3 linked regions of the Schizosaccharomyces pombe genome follow. Changing the gene in region 1 together with any one later gene gives a genetic interaction. Each region holds a gene or a part of one and is shown in the gene's direction. Other genes may lie near its edges. The genes, in order: isp6, atg13 and atg1.

The links.
Region 2: of isp6 (region 1) and atg13, changing one suppresses a phenotype caused by changing the other (phenotypic suppression), as found in Schizosaccharomyces pombe (one study listed by BioGRID).
Region 3: of isp6 (region 1) and atg1, changing one suppresses a phenotype caused by changing the other (phenotypic suppression), as found in Schizosaccharomyces pombe (one study listed by BioGRID).

What each region holds. Positions count from the first base shown.
Region 1 is NC_003424.3:2,542,542-2,547,612, forward strand, and holds isp6 (vacuolar serine protease Isp6), read left to right. Parts: upstream 1-2,300; 5' UTR 2,301-2,808; coding exon 2,809-4,212; 3' UTR 4,213-4,440; downstream 4,441-5,071. Other genes in the region: Myo3-like myosin II heavy chain myp2, read right to left, coding at 4,810-5,071.
Region 2 is NC_003424.3:4,839,649-4,845,580, reverse strand, and holds atg13 (autophagy-associated protein kinase regulatory subunit Atg13), read left to right. Parts: upstream 1-1,977; 5' UTR 1,978-2,136; coding exon 2,137-2,271; intron 2,272-2,349; coding exon 2,350-2,445; intron 2,446-2,689; coding exon 2,690-4,735; 3' UTR 4,736-5,096; downstream 5,097-5,932. Other genes in the region: protein mug126, read right to left, coding at 1-726; BUD22 family ribosome small subunit biogenesis protein, read right to left, coding at 5,301-5,932. UniProt on the Schizosaccharomyces pombe protein: Component of the atg1 kinase complex that activates the atg1 kinase in a nutritional condition dependent manner through the TOR pathway, leading to autophagy.
Region 3 is NC_003421.2:849,019-854,621, reverse strand, and holds atg1 (autophagy serine/threonine protein kinase Atg1), read left to right. Parts: upstream 1-1,939; 5' UTR 1,940-2,017; coding exon 2,018-2,119; intron 2,120-2,181; coding exon 2,182-4,572; 3' UTR 4,573-4,789; downstream 4,790-5,603. Other genes in the region: thg1 (tRNA guanylyltransferase), read right to left, coding at 4,993-5,136, 5,190-5,294, 5,391-5,603. UniProt on the Schizosaccharomyces pombe protein: Serine/threonine protein kinase involved in the cytoplasm to vacuole transport (Cvt) and found to be essential in autophagy, where it is required for the formation of autophagosomes.

The sequences.
Region 1 (5,071 bases):
CTAAAAAAAGATTAATGATCAAAGGATTAGAGGAAAGAAAGTTTTCTTTCCTACAGATATTGAAGCTTCCAGACGCTTTGCTTGAAAGCCGAGGTAAATTTCCAGTTTAAGGCTAACTCGAAATACCAAATAACAGGGGATTTTAAAAAGAGTTCAGCATACACCAACAAGGAGAAAGTCTTACACGATTCTATACAAGCGGTGTAAAGCATATAGTGTGTTAAAACGAACCCTGTAATACTATGCAAACAAATGCGTTAAAGCACGATAAAAGAAGTTAAGGAAGATATGTAATGAAAGGAAGGCTGTGAGCATTGTAGGGATAGTTCGTTTGATGAGCATGTCTTTATTTCATTTTCGTTAATATTTCAATTTTTTTTGGTTGGTTTGAGGGGGTGGATTCTACCAACCACTTTCATTTTTCCTATCCAAATATGTTTTTTACTTTTCTATCTTATTTTTTCACTATAGCACATTAGCACTCTAGATTATATTGCTTTGTTAGAGCAAAACAGATGGAGTATATAGCTTATCGACGACAATTCAATTCAATTCAATCCAACCATCAGAGAAATCTGACTATGTTACTCTTTAGTTTATTCCTAATAAGCGCTGCTTGAATAAAGTGATAAGTGCAACAGCTCCGATGATGGCAAGATATTTAGCGATTAGAGATTGTTTCGTTTCCAAAGTACCAAGTACTTATAACGAAATATATACAAAAGCTCCCAAATTCAAAATTGCTGGGTGTACGGCGCCACCAAAATACAGAACCGTCATTCATTTGTTCCAATATAACGCCATTGTTCTCTGTATTGTTTGCTAATTGTTTCAACTTGTTGAACTATTAGTGATGGTCTAGTCCAAACGACACCTGGAATGAGAGCGCATTGATGAAAGAGCTTCAACACAGCGCCCAATCTCTCTTACTGTGGGAATCTCAAACATTGTCAATGTTGTCACATGTTGTTTGTTCGTATACAAAGAAATGCAAATGCCATCCACGCATTCTGTTCATCATTAAAACTCTTTGATTAAATCCCTTGTACTGCATTAAATTTCATGGCTGCATAGAAGAAAAGTTACATAGGAAAGAGCCAGCGATTGCTACGAATACTCGCTCGATCTCACTCCACAGGCTGTTTCTTTAACAATTTATATAAGAATATACAAATAAGTAAAGTTTCATAGAAAAGAAGAAATGGATTTTATAGTGAAAATGGGGAATTTTAAAGTCCCTCATTGCTTCATCTAGCAACTCTTTCTTATATACAATAACCGAAATACGATGCATCGGTAATTAACTGTTTACGCACACACAATCTCTCAATCTTCTCTCCTCTAAAATAAATGTCTCCAACCAATTTGTTGATAAAGATAGAATGGCTGTTGTAATGTAGCAAACACTTATCAGGGGATGGATGGATGGATGGATGTTTTTCATCAAGCACTTGTTTACATGAGTGGGCGTTAGCTGAACACCGAGAGTCATGTTCATTCAATTGTGCTAGTGTTTTATAATTTATTTGTTTTCGTTTCAGTTTACTGTTTGTGTAGAATGAATACTAGTCATGAAAGGAAAGAATAAACCTTTCTGAAAATGAAATGACATTGAGTGCATATTGTTGAATATGGATATGCTGTTGCTTCCATACATTTGGAAATTTTGCAAACCTCTTTTTTTATGTATGTCCCGATCAATGTGTGTATCCGTGGATTACCAAGTTATCAGTGAATCGGCTTCCGTTCCTCCATATCTTTGAATTGCTCTTTTTTCTGCCCTAAGCAGCGCAATGCGCATGAAGCGTTATCATTCAATGTACCGAACAGAGTGGCAGTTGAGTGGCCCTTACCAATCCGGCCTTTCAAAGTTTATCTAAGAACCACTTGTTTGAGCTTATCGACCAATCACAGGCAATGGATCACCGTTCCTCCACTAACCACCTCGTATCGCTAGATTAGAGGGGTGACGTCAAGTGAACATATCGTGACTCGTTAAGTCAGCCAAGTAACGAATTGCGAAAGGGAGGGCGCGCTTGAGAAAGTGCTAATACAGCGATGCATGCAGAACAGTGGCATTTGACGAATAATCAAGGGAGAAAGCAGAGAAGTAAATGAACAGAATTTTTTTAAAAAAAATTATATTACAATTGAATTGAATGGATTTGGAATTGAGTTTTGCCTGCTTTTTTACGGAATCTCTGCTTCTATCTGTCCAAACTCCCTTTGTTGATGTTCGAGGGTTAGGGTACGGGTGGTGGATAGACTATATAAACGAAAGAGGTAGCCCCCATTGAGTCGTGTATCAGTACGCTCCTCGTTACAAAGTCAAACGTCTTAGAACAAGTTGCATTGGAATTGAATTTACCAGTGCCACTAGTTTTGATTTTGTTTCATTCACAGTCGTTTTTTTTCGCTTTGTGTTTTTCATTTGCTTGCAATTTTTTATTTTATTAAAGTAATTGTTAGAGAATTATTATAGTTTCTTTCTCCCTTTCTTTATAATAACTCTTAATCCCATTGTTCGCCCATATACTACTTACTATAGTTTGTATATAGCCCACAATTCTTTTTTTTTTTCTTTTATTCATCTCTCTCGATTTCTTCCTATCTGAACTTGGGATAGATAGTTAGTTTTTCAATAGTCTTTGTCATCTGTTTTCCTTGTCTTTCTTTCATAAGTAAACACGGAACAACGATACTTGCCTACTGTTCAGCAATCTCAGCAATTTAACCGCCTTCAATCACTACCCCAACCACAATCACAATCACTTCCCCCTCCAACAGCCTCGTCTTCTCAGCATCAACATGAGAATTCCTTATTCAAATCTTTTTTCTGCCGCCGCAGGTTTGGCCCTCTTCGCTTCTACTGCCTGTGCTGCACCAGTGATGCCAGCGACTGATTCGGACATTGCCCATGCTGGTATCCGTCCTGAGCTCGATAACGCTTTCTACGACTCCCACGGCGAAGCCGCTACCCCTAAGCACAAACCTCATGCTGGTCCTAATGCCGCTCCTCTCTTGTCTGCTTCCAACGCCGATACCACTGGACTGGACTCTCACTATATCATTGTTTTGCAGCCTGATTTGAGCGAACAAGAATTCCAAGCCCATACTAATTGGGTCTCGGAGATGCACCAAATGGACATTGCTTCTCAAGAAGATGAGTACTACGATACTAGTGATAGTAATTACATGTTTGGCTTGAAGCATGTTTATGACTTTGGCGAGGACTCTTTCAAAGGTTATTCTGGTCAATTCAGCTCTAACATTGTTGAGCAAATTCGCTTGCATCCTCATGTCATCGCCGTCGAGCGTGATCAAGTTGTCAGCATTAAGAAACTTGAAACTCAAAGTGGCGCTCCTTGGGGACTTGCTCGCATCTCTCACAAATCCGTCAAATACGATGATATTGGCAAATATGTTTACGATTCCAGCGCTGGTGACAACATCACCGCTTATGTTGTAGATACCGGTGTAAGCATTCATCATGTTGAGTTCGAAGGTCGCGCTTCTTGGGGTGCAACCATTCCCTCTGGTGATGTTGATGAGGATAACAATGGTCATGGTACGCATGTTGCTGGTACCATTGCTAGCCGTGCTTATGGTGTTGCAAAGAAGGCTGAAATCGTTGCTGTCAAGGTTCTCCGTTCCAGTGGATCTGGTACCATGGCTGATGTGATTGCCGGTGTTGAGTGGACTGTTCGTCATCACAAATCGTCCGGCAAGAAAACCTCTGTTGGCAACATGTCTCTTGGTGGCGGCAACAGCTTTGTTTTGGATATGGCTGTTGATTCTGCCGTTACCAACGGTGTTATTTATGCCGTTGCTGCTGGAAATGAGTATGATGACGCTTGCTATTCATCTCCTGCTGCTTCTAAGAAAGCCATCACCGTTGGCGCTTCCACTATAAACGACCAAATGGCCTACTTCTCTAACTATGGTAGCTGTGTTGACATCTTCGCTCCTGGACTTAACATTTTGTCTACATGGATCGGTTCAAATACTAGTACTAACACCATCTCTGGTACTTCTATGGCAACCCCTCATGTTGCAGGTTTGTCCGCTTACTACCTTGGCCTACACCCTGCTGCCAGCGCTAGCGAAGTTAAAGATGCTATCATTAAGATGGGTATTCACGATGTACTCTTGTCTATTCCTGTTGGTAGCAGCACTATTAACCTTCTCGCTTTCAATGGTGCTCAAGAATAGATTTTACTTCATGTTGGATGCATTCGATGTTTTCAATAAGTCGGTGTTTGATTTTCAATACATCGAGTAATTGTTTTATTTTTTTGAAAACGTTTGCTCCTTTTATGATTGTTCTTTACAAACAGTTTATAATGATTGTTATGACAATAAATATTTTATAATGCAAGCCACTGAATCACGTTTAGAATTTTTATACTTGAATGAAATTTTTTTGTGATGTTCTTCCAACTTACAATGTTAAAGTGTAATTGTAAATGTCCTCTTCTTTTATTTGTATTTGTATTTATATTTGTGCCGCTGTTATGCAAGAGCTCTTCTACATTTAATATCGCCGCCTATCTCTTCATAGTTTTCTTTTACAATGTGATTGCTGCATATAACCATTGTACAAATAATAGGGGTAAAATAAAAAGTAAACCGAACTAAAATGCCTTTTACTTGACCGACTTACTTTTTTTTTTGAACTAAAGTATCCTTGTGGTTACTTGTTACGTTGACGCAGAGCATAATAATAGTAATAATAAAATAATTTTAAATTCATGAACTAATAATTTACATCATCTTAAAAAATACATGTCGAGTCTTTGGGAAGCTTGGCTACCTTAGAACGCTAGGCGAACGATTGGACCTCATGGATAATCTACTTTCACTTCTCTTTACTCTTTGACCCTCCAGCAAAGATCTATATTTATCAAAATCGGTTTCCAAACTTTTGACGCGTTCACGCTCTTCTTGAAGAGCATGTTCCGTCCGACGTAGTGCAAATTTCCATTGTGTTTCTGAAGCTTGCACATCTTCTAATTGATTTCTCAGTTGCGCATTTCTTTCCTCCAAACGAGAAACTGAGCTCTGTATTCTC
Region 2 (5,932 bases), 2.3 Mb from region 1:
CTGTTGAGTAGTCTTCGGTTTTTGCTTGTCATCTTGAGTTTCCTGTCGATCAAATGATGATTCCTCTTGATTGCTCGAAGTCTCCTGTTGATTAGCTTGTGGTTCCTGGGGTACAGCTTTTTGACCAGCCTGTGGCTCCTGTTGGGTGACCTTTGAATAAGCTTGAGGGTTTTCTTGAACAGTCTCCAATTTTTTCCCAGCATTCTGAAGCTCCTCCTCTTGAACTGTCGAAGTTTTCTTTTTGTCCGTTTGTGATTCCCCTTGAGTAATGAAAGCTTCATATTGAGAGTCTAATTGAGGATTTCGAGGATCCTCCTGGTCAGTTGGAAAGTTCGCTTGACCAGTGTGAGATTCCTGTTGATCACTTTCAAAGCTTTGCATTCTTCCCATTTCAATTGAATCAATTCCCATCTCCAGGTCGCATGGTTTTTCTTTTGACTTTGTAAGAATGAATGATTTGATTACTTCCTTCAAGTTATACATTCTATGTCTCTGTTCATGCTTCACAAGTGGACTTGACGATCTAGAAGATCTATTCTGTTCATCTTCATTTTCGTCATTGACATTTTCCGGACACGGATCCTCTAGTAAGGTCTTCTGAATATTTCCAGATTCTGAACCATCTTCCTCCATTTCTTCTTGCACGTTGAAAATGGTTTCATTTTCCAAAACGTAAAAAGACGACAATGATGTTGATGATGTATTCTCGTTAAGCATTTCTCCCATTTCTTCAACTTATCTCTATCTTATTAATTATTGTTAATATTGAAGCAGTAAATCTGTTTTCAACAGTCAGATAATTTATAATTGGGGAACCGAAAAATGAAGACTTCTAAATAAAAACAAATAGCAGCAGTACAATTAAAGCCAAGCGATTATATTGGATTTCTAAAAAAAATAGAAACACCTTGTAACCAACAAATTTGAAACTTCAAAAAGTAGTATTTTAATCTTGGTGATTTGGAATGTAAAGAATATATAACATTTTGACAATTGATGATGAAAACATCGCAGCATCATGACTTATGGCATCTGCAATTTAATAGCAAAAACAAAAATTAATTAAAGTCTCGTTTCTTTATGACTCCTTATATCGTTGGTAAACCAGAGTACGAAATTCAAGGTATTTTAGTACTACCACATAATTTAATTCCTTTTTTTTTTTAAAAACGAAAAGGGCTGAGCAAACCTAAGCTTGCAAAACTTAGTACTGCCAAAAAAATGAGCATTTTATTAAAACTAAGAGCTCTTAGAAGTCAGTAATATCCTTTTAACTTCGGGTTAAAATCATGACCATTACCTTTAACATCAGTTGCATCGCTTCAAACATGATAATACTGAGGGTTTTACATTTAACTTTCACAAAAGTGATAGAGAATGCATCCTAAATCAATAAGCTAGTGCTTGTAAATGATTTTAATTAGTTAATAATTACCGTACACTCAGCCAACATAAATCGACATTATTGTTTGTTTTCCATAAGCGATGTTTGTGTATTTGGGTTTTAAAATAGCGAATATTTAGCGGCTGTCAACAAACATTTCCTACATTTAGCAATACATTACGTATCATCATTTGTTGTGCAATAAAAAAAAACGGTTAATATCCATTTATTGACAATTTTCGAAAATTGTATGTTTATGTCCGAAGTTTTTTCGGATTAAGGGAATCATAAATCAAATAAAACTCAGATTACTTAATTACTTGTTGTAGGTTATGCTCCATTTATTGTGAATTTAAATTGTTCCCTTCAACAAGACTACTTGCAGCACTGTTGCACATAATCCCTTTATATTCCAAAATAATAGCTCACAAAACAAGATTCACCGCAGTTTAAAGAGCCTTTAAATATAGCTACCATTTGTCTTATAACGTGATCGAAAGAAATCGTATTTAACGCAACGCTAATATTTACCGTGCTTCGTTGGAGCATGGCATCTGTAGTATCTTTTGCCGCTTACTACAATACTCTGCCTTACCAAATACGAACTGCAAAACCAAATTCATTCAATTAGGAAAACTAATTAAAAACTGCTTTATCAATTTAAAGAATGAGCTAACAATCAAATTGTTACATTAAAAAATTAATAATTTATACTTTGAAGTTGCAATTGAATTAATGGAAACCACATTGATATGCCGAGACTTAATACGCAGCTTCCTCGAATGTATTCTGCTCCCCCTGGGCATAGTAAAGCAGTTTCAACTGAGTTAAATAAAGATCTATCATCAGTGGGTGGTAGGAGCGCTAAGCTGGGCCAAGTCATTCACGTAAGTTAAAGTGTGTATCATAAGCTTGCTTGAGGTCCACCCATCCTTTACTTGAAAAGTATTAACATTTACAAATAGCATTGTTTTTATAAAACCGGATTAATAATTTTGGAATCCAGACTAAATGTATTTGGGACCTCTCGTCCTCGAGAAAGTTCTAAGAATAACAAATGGGTATGTATTTTTGTTTTTCTACAATGACGAGTATCGGTGTTATGCGCTTTATTCATACAGTGGTTTTCAAAAAACTCAAGATTATTTATCAATTACTTATCAGTTTACGTTCATCTCGTGCGTCTGCATAGAGTTTCATTTTTAAGCTACAGGTGAATAAGTTGATCACTGTACTATTGATGTATAAATGTGGAATTACAAATAATTAAAAAATTCATATTTGCACTTAATTAACAAAATGTAGTTCAATTTGGAAATTGTTGAAACTGAGCTTTATGCCGAGCAATTCAAAATTTGGAAGAATATTGAACTTTCTCCTTCACGAAAAATACCTCCAATGGTTTTGCACACATATTTAGATATATCTGATTTATCAAAAAATCAAACCCTTTCTGTTTCCGATGGTACTCATTCTCACGCAATCAACTTTAATAATATGTCGACAATGAAAATCGTACTTGAAAGATGGATTGTGAATTTAGATGGCGAAGCCTTATCAACCCCTCTGGAGTTGGCTGTTTTGTACAAAAAGTTAGTTGTTTTATTTCGTTCCCTCTACACTTATACCCATCTTATGCCTCTGTGGAAATTGAAGTCGAAAATACACAAATTAAGAGCTCATGGTACATCTTTAAAAGTTGGCTGTGCCCTCTCTACGGATGATGTTTTATCGAATGATTTCCTTCCTATAAGTGCTCCAATTTCATCCTCGCTCGGAAGCAGTATTGCAACTTTCTCTTTCAGCCCTGTTGGTACACCAGCTGGAGATTTTCGCATATCTGTTCAGTATCGTAAAAATTGTCATTTTGAGGTTCATGATTCTGATGCGTTACTCTCTAACCAGTTGTTATCTGCAGACAAGCATCAACTTGCTGCTTCGAACAATTCTCAAGATTTTGAAGATGGCAAACAGTATGATCAACCACCTCCTTCTTTTGCAACGCGGTTAGCTAAGCAGTCGGATCCGAATTCTCTTTTACAATCTGAAATCCAACATTTAGCTAGCATTGAGTCTATAACAGCTCAAGCAGCTCCTCTTGTTACTATACATCCTTTCAAATCTCCGTCATTATCTGCTTCCCCAGGGTCAAATTTTGACAATATGTCAATTTCTCCGAAGGTTGCAGTCAATCGTTATATACATCGCGGACCATCAGCCACCTCTTTAAATAAATTTTCAATGATTTCTGATGCTGCAAGCAAATCAAGAGCAAAATTGCCACCTCTTACATCTGGAAGTCTTAAGCTTAACACACTTGACATTTCCAATACCCCGAATCTTCGACGATTTAGCAGTAGTTTCGGTCCCCGCGAGCGTAAAGAAAGCTTTAGCTCTCGTAATCGTTTACCGCTAGTCAATCATCCTATTCGTAGCATTTTCAAACATAACGTCTCAGAGAATCCTATAACAGATCATTCTGAGCATGCTGTTTATGATAGTGAATTTGCATCAAAGGATGATCTTAGCGGTTTTATTCAACTATTAGATAGTCATGCACATCATTTAAATGCTTCGGAAGGTAGCAAATCAAGTGGTTCATTTCCAGGGAAGGTACAAACTTTGACATCTGGAATTTCGCCAGTTGCTCACCCTCATAATTCCTTGGGTAGTAGCAATGAAATTTTTGACATCGATACCTATAATCATTCAATTGATAATAGCGGATCCCGTTTTACTGAGGCTGTGAAGCATAATCTTGGAAATTCTAGCCATAGCATCATGCGCCATCACACTTTAGGTACGCTGCGATCTCGGCCTTCCTTCTCTGAAAAATCTACCTTCCCTGCTCCCCTGACATCCATTTCACAAGCTTCCACGTTCCAAGGAGATAACCGGTCTCCAAGCACTGTTATTCCTCATACTCAAACTGAAGTACCATCAGCAAACGATACTTCAAAGCAACTAGCATCTCTTCACGATATGCGGAAAAGTCAATCACCAATTTGTGCTAGATCGGCTACTTCTGCTGGACTTCCGCGTTTCGAATATCACACCAGCTTATCCAAATCACTGGAACATTCATCAACGCCAGCAAGCCTACAAGCAACAAAGACGCCCAGCCCTTCTTTTGTACTTGAGCCGGGAATCCCACAAGAGTACAAAAAGCACTTTGATAATCTTTCTGAAGAACGACGTCAATGTCTTACTCCTTCAACACCTACTTACGAATATTACAATGAGCATAACCCCAATTATGATGATGATTTATTGTTCACAATGACTGATATGACTCTTGAACCCCATGATGTTTCAGCTATTAGGCTTGGTTCTCCCAAATCCGATGATTAAGCGAAGCCTATGTTTAGAATTTGGAGTGATATAGCATCCATTTAATGCACTCAACCATTCTTGTTTTCTTTTAATTTTTTAATAGTTTTTTTCAGCTGCATTATAGCTTCAATTAAGCTTCGTTCCATACAAGTGAATTTCGCAATATTCGCCTCAATTCATGAGCTTTGGGCAGCGATTGAAAATACTCATAATGTCTGACTGTACTTTTCACATTTACCATGATTAGTATCTACATATACTGTTTATCTAGCTAGTGTAGGTATTAATTGAAATTGTAATTTAGTTTCTAATAATTTAAAAAATCACAGTTATTGAAAATTTAAATTTACTAGTTAGCAACAGAAACATCATGAATAATAGTAATTTGTTAGCTCTGTTTATTCTGTGTATAAAATATTAGCAACGTATACAGTTTCAAGATATTAATACAATCTTCTAGCTGCGATTTGAGCAATGTAAAACGCTATGATGTTTTACCATTGTTTTGAAAAAAAGAGGATGTTTCTTACTTCCTGAATATCGAAAAAAAGCACTACTATTTTATAAATTGGAATGTTTAAGATTAGTCAAAAACTATTTTTTTACCCTGGAATGCTGCACTAGAAGGCATTTTTTGTTTCCTTTTAGCCTCCCAAGAGGGATGCAGTTGCTCTGGTTTTTGAGGTGTTTGGTGCTCCGTAAAAGCATTTTCACGAGCAGCACGTTTAGCTTGCCTTTCTTCATACTTTCTCTGTCTTTCTTCACGAATACTCCTTTCTTCAGTCGCTTTTTTTATCAAATGGTTAGCACCTTTACCATACTTTTTTTCCCAAATAGCTTGTCTAGCTCTTTGACCACGACGATTTTTACGCTTCGGGATATCTACTTCTTCTAACTCCTTTTCGACAAATTCATCATCACTTTCGACTGGATCTAAGAAGCCCGCTGTAAGGGCAGGCAGATTAGTATTGTTATGTTTGCCCAGAGGAATTTCCAACATCTCATCATCAATTATAGACTTCCTGTTTATTAAAGTAGCATTTTGAAGAGATGATTCTTTTACACCTTCATTTTTCATAGAATATGACATAGACTTGTTGATTTCTTTGTCCTCAGTATTATCCAAAATCATACCAGTATCTTGATTAACGCCATCGGTGCTATTTTGAACATGGGTATTATCCACTTGGTCTTGATTAGAAGTTGATTTGTTTG
Region 3 (5,603 bases), on another chromosome or scaffold:
ACATCAAAGTAAAATATCTCATAACTCTGATGCTTTGCAAATGACAAACAAAAGAAAAATACATATATGTGCTTATATATGAAAAAATAAACCAAAGATGTAATTCTTTGCATATTCTCTTTGTTACTAATTCGACGTAAATAGATTTCCTTTAATAAAATAAAAAGAAAAATTTTACGTATTGCCAGGCCTATCATTAAATCATAATCACCTTAACAACAGCATCCACTGAGAATACTGTTTACAAAAAACCAACGTGAGCAAAAAAAAGATGGCAGATGTGACTATGAAACGAATAAAACTAAAACGGACTATAAATTTCGGTAAAAATGATATTACAAAATATATGTATATATAGTTTTGCTATTCAATCAGTCATATATTTAAAGGTAATTGACTATTACAGTTCGCATATTTAGGAAGATCAAAATATTCATTTATTGAGAAATGTATAACAACGAGTATCTGAGCGGATATCGTGGCACAATTTTAAGTAGAATAGGTTGCTTCGAAACGAACAGTATATTATTTTTGCTTGCTTAAAATTAATTAAACAGTGTACGACTCGGAGCATAAGCATTTTAATTCCATTTATTAATTTTCCAAATTTCCTAGAAAATAATAGATTAAAAAAAAATTCATTAATTTATTTATTGCTACAAAATCAAAATTTTGATTAACTTATTATTTTTACTTTATTTTTTTTTATTTTTTGTTTCAAACTTCATTGCAGTATTATTGGCAACAAGCACTTATATTCAGTTTCAAAACTTTTTTTATTTTATATTCTCGAATTAATTTATTTATTTTATTATCACGCAAATACAAAATTAAACTATTCATGGTGAGAAGGTGAATTTTTTATAACGTTGCTTGTTTTCAGTAGCGTTTTCGCTAATGTTGACTTTAAAGTCTGTTTTAGAAATTTGGATTCCACAACCAATCTCGTATATATCAATAAAGAGAAAAGCAACATATTATGATTGGAAATTTTCTTTTAATTTTCTGCAAGAGAGTTCTTACCTTCCATTATGGTCTTCAAGTCCTCAGGGCATGTTTGAATACTAGTCATTGCCCAATTCCCTGTTTTGTAGTATTATATACATGCGTTTGAGCCAAAACTCACACTGCATAAAAAAAATGATATTCTTTTCTTCAACCATAAATATTATTATTTAACACAACAAATGTCTACGGCCATACCTAGGCGAAAACACCAGTTCCCGTCCGATCACTGCAGTTAAGCGTCTGAGGGCCTCGTTAGTACTATGGTTGGAGACAACATGGGAATCCGGGGTGCTGTAGGCTCCTTCTTTTCTTTTTTTTTTGTCTTTTAAATCCAGTTTACTTTTTTTTTTTATATTATTTCTATATGGCATGAAACTGGTACAGTGGTACAAGTTGTACATCTGCCGCCGGTTTTTTATCCAAATTTACCCTCTATTTACACTTGCATTTTCATCTGCCTCGATCACTCTATCCATGACAATCGCCTTTTCCAACTAATTTGCCTTTTCGCGGGTATCTACGCTTCGTCTGGAGTATTATCTACTTCCGTTCTTATCCTCTAATTCCACACACACTTGCTTTCCGTACTCAAATCGGTAACTGACATGGCAAAAATTAACACATTTATTTCGTCTTAACCCACTTTCGGCATTTTTCAGCTGCACAAAAAGGGAACAATTTCAAAGAATTTAGACACTACCAGCAGGTATATGTGTGTAAAATATTATAATTCATTGAGTTAATACAATTTCCTCTATAAACTCGCATTCTATTCATAGTGCTTACTCCCATAAAACTTGTTATCCCGAAACCATATCTCCTGTTACCTTTTACAGCCGCACCACGATCGCAATTTATTTTAAGGTATTAAAGCCCAGTGCGGAAAGTGCCTTTTACGCAGCTATATTATCAATGGCGACCCGCTATCCTTGCCAACTCCCATGCTATCAAAGTGAGTATAAAGGCAGCTAAAACCCTTACACCTGTCTTATCGTGAACCAGAAGCTGTATGAACTTACAGACGAGTACAAATCAAACAATTGGTCCCTATGTCATTCGATCGGAAATTGGACGTGGATCTTTCGCAATTGTGTATAAAGGAAAGCACACGGTAAGTAAAAGAAGCAACTGCTTGTCTGTTTCAATGGAATTTGGTGGCTAATCGTGTTGCAGGAAACGAATCGAGTGATCTCTATTAAAAGCGTATTGACAAAGAAGCTTACTAAGAAACTTTTGGAGAATTTAGAAAGTGAAATTTCAATCCTTAAAGAGATCCGTCATGTGCATGTTGTGGAACTGATAGACTGTATTAAGGCTGGGCGGTTCATTCACCTGGTCATGGAGTATTGCTCCCTAGGAGATTTGAGTTATTTTATTCGAAAGCGAGAAAAGTTTAACAGTATTCCCTCCTTAGCCTGGATCAACATCGATCATCCGCCAGTTTACAAGGCTGGATTGAATGAGACGTTGGTTCGGCATTTTACCCAACAACTTGCTTCTGCACTCCAATTTTTACGATCGCGTTCTTTAATTCATCGAGATGTCAAACCCCAAAATCTTCTTTTACAACCACCACCCACCGCTGCCTATCTGGAAGAGCATCCCCAGTTTGTGGGAAGTCCCAAGCTACCAATGCTTAAATTAGCAGACTTTGGTTTTGCACGTTACCTTCAAACGTCTAGTATGGCGGAAACTCTATGTGGCTCTCCGTTGTATATGGCGCCCGAAATACTTCGTTACGAGAAATATGATGCTAAAGCCGATTTGTGGTCAGTAGGTGCTGTGTTATACGAAATGGCTGTTGGAAAGCCTCCCTTCAAGGCCCCAAATCATGTCGAACTTCTTAGGAGGATTCAAAAAGCTAAAGATGTCATCAAGTTTCCTGAAGAAGCTTTCATTCACCCGGACATTAAAACCCTTATCTGTGCTTTGCTGAAGCAAAATCCGGCTGATCGTATCGACTACGACGGTTTCTTTTCCAGTATTGTTGTCACTACTCCATTAGATGACGCATCTACTTTGACCGGTAGCGATATTCAAGATGCGGTTAAGGAAATAAACATTCCATCTTCTAGTCCTGCCTACATAACCGATTTTTTCCCAAAAAGTAATCCTGGCGCTCCTGCTCCTCCAGGCGGTTTGTTGCGTCAAGCTTTCCAAGCTCAGGGGTCTAGTATTCAGCCCTCTGAAATTACCGGTCGAAGGGTGCCTCATCGCTATGCACAAGATGGAAACACTTTACCATACACCCCCGTGTTTCCTCCTGAAAGTGCTCCTGCTGCTAGCATTTTCCCTCCTCGATTAACCTCTAAGCAACCTATACCCATGGCATCTCCTGCTAAGTTGACAAGTGATACTTCGAACAAAAGTAGCGCCTATGTCGTAGTGGACCATCATCCCATAATCTCTTCTACCCAACTTTCCAATGAAAGCCTAACCCACGAGCAATCAATCAATGGTAACTCGCCTTCACCAAACGAAGGTGTTTTTCAAGGTAGTTTCTCTCCTGAAAGCGCTCCTGTAAATAATCATGCGTTTCCCCATACTAGCCGGATGCAAATCCCTTACATGAAACCCAATGCTTTCCCTTCTAATCCTACCTACATTGCTTCAACCCCAGTCACTCAACTACGTCGTGCGTTTGAGCAAGCTACAGCACATGTACCTCAATCTGGAGGTGGTGCGCGAAATAAAAGCGCTCTAGAACGAGCACTAAATGTTGCAAACGCTAGGCTTAATGAAGTTGTAGTGGATGGTATGACAGATAATGGAAACACATCCCTTCCTACAAAAGAAAGCAATTTGGATAACAATGTCAACATTATCCAACCTTCCTTACCTGACACCGGTAAAAGATTGCTTGATGTTTTAGAAAGTATAGCGATGAAATCAAACTCTGTCTACCATCTGGCTGAAGTGAAGCTTGCTCAAATTATTCCTTCTTTGTCTGATGAAATGAAGCCTGGAGATACACTCTTGGATAGACCTTTGACTCCTTTTTCATTGGTTATGTTAGCCAAGGAATCGTATGTACTTTATGAGAGAGACATTGAGCTGTTACAAGTGGCGTTTGACGGTGTTGCTGCTTTTTGGGCCAACTCTGAAGAACGTGCATCTCCTGATTGCCAACAAGCCATTGAATGGTTTCGTCAAAGGTATTCAGAAAGTCTTGAGAAATCCCAATTTTTACGTGAAATTATTATTTCTCAAAGTGCCGCACATTCTTTGCCAACTACCAAACCTGTGTCAGCTTCTCAATTAATTTATCATAGAGCATTGGACCTATCCAGAAATGCAGCCACTAGTGAACTGTCAGGAAATGATGCACAGGCTTGTTTACAAAATTACCGGCTTGCAGCACATTTGTTGGAGTCACTTCTTGAGAGTAATTTTTCGACTCCAGACGGTGCTAACGATTCCAATAATTCAGTAACCATAAGAAATTTGATTGCTTTGATAACGAAAAGGCAAGAACTTTTACAATCGAAACAAATCCAGGCTAATGTAGCCAACAAAGTAACAGAAAGTGTTGCGAAAATAACACTTGCCCCCAATCTTGCTTGAACACCGACGATTTCGCCCTTTTATTGAACAAATTCGCATATTGTATGAGCTGAGCTCTGAGTCTAAATTTTGTTATGAATTCGTTGTTATGACCATATTATTTATATAACTTTTTAATATAGACGTTTTTAATTTTGCTTTTTTTATACATAGGGTTGATAGTCCCGTATATTTAACTCTTATTTATTGAGGTTTATCTCTATTCAAATTTCGTGCATATTATTTTTTTTCTCTTAAATTTTTCAAACAAGTAAAACAGCTATTTAACGTATCAAGGCAAGAATCTAGTACTTTTTTGATTTCCAAAACAAAGATTTGTTTTATACGGCCTAGAGCTGATGACTGCATGAGAGAAACAATTAAACGAGTGATAATGTTTTTGTTCAAACGACCCATAATTTACAAATGTGTGAAAGGAAATTATTGTAACAATACCTCAAGAAATGGCCTTGAAGTCCAAAAGTCATCGTCTATCAGACTTACGTGAAGGATAGATAAAACCATTTTCTTCTTTTGTTTTACGGAGAACTTTTTGTCTTGTTGATGCCATTCTTGATCAATAGGCTAAATTAAATAAGTAAGCAAAAATTAATTTAAACAAAGTTTGTCGAGCATACCTCACGAATCCAAATCGAGCCCTTTTTGTATATCTCTGGTTCAAAATTATAGTTGATGCCGAATTTTGAGAACAAAATTTCATGTTTTTCTGCGCTGACGGTACCCTGTAAAGTAATTCACCCAAAAGGTGAAAGTGGTTAGTTTTTATTGAAAGGAAGATAAATCGCTAGGGTTTACATAAAAAAAAATGAGCTACTTACCTTTAGGTACTCCTCGGCTTGAGTGTTTGTGAAACCTCCTTTGAGTATTAACATCCAGAAGGTAGTATTGTAAAGGTTATTAATATGACAGTCTACTTGTCGCCAATGCAAATAATCTCTTAATACTTTCATATTAGGATAAAGTACAGCTCGTCCATCAAATGAAGGGAGTGAAAGTAGTGGAATGTCAAAATGTTTAGGCCAATTGAAGAC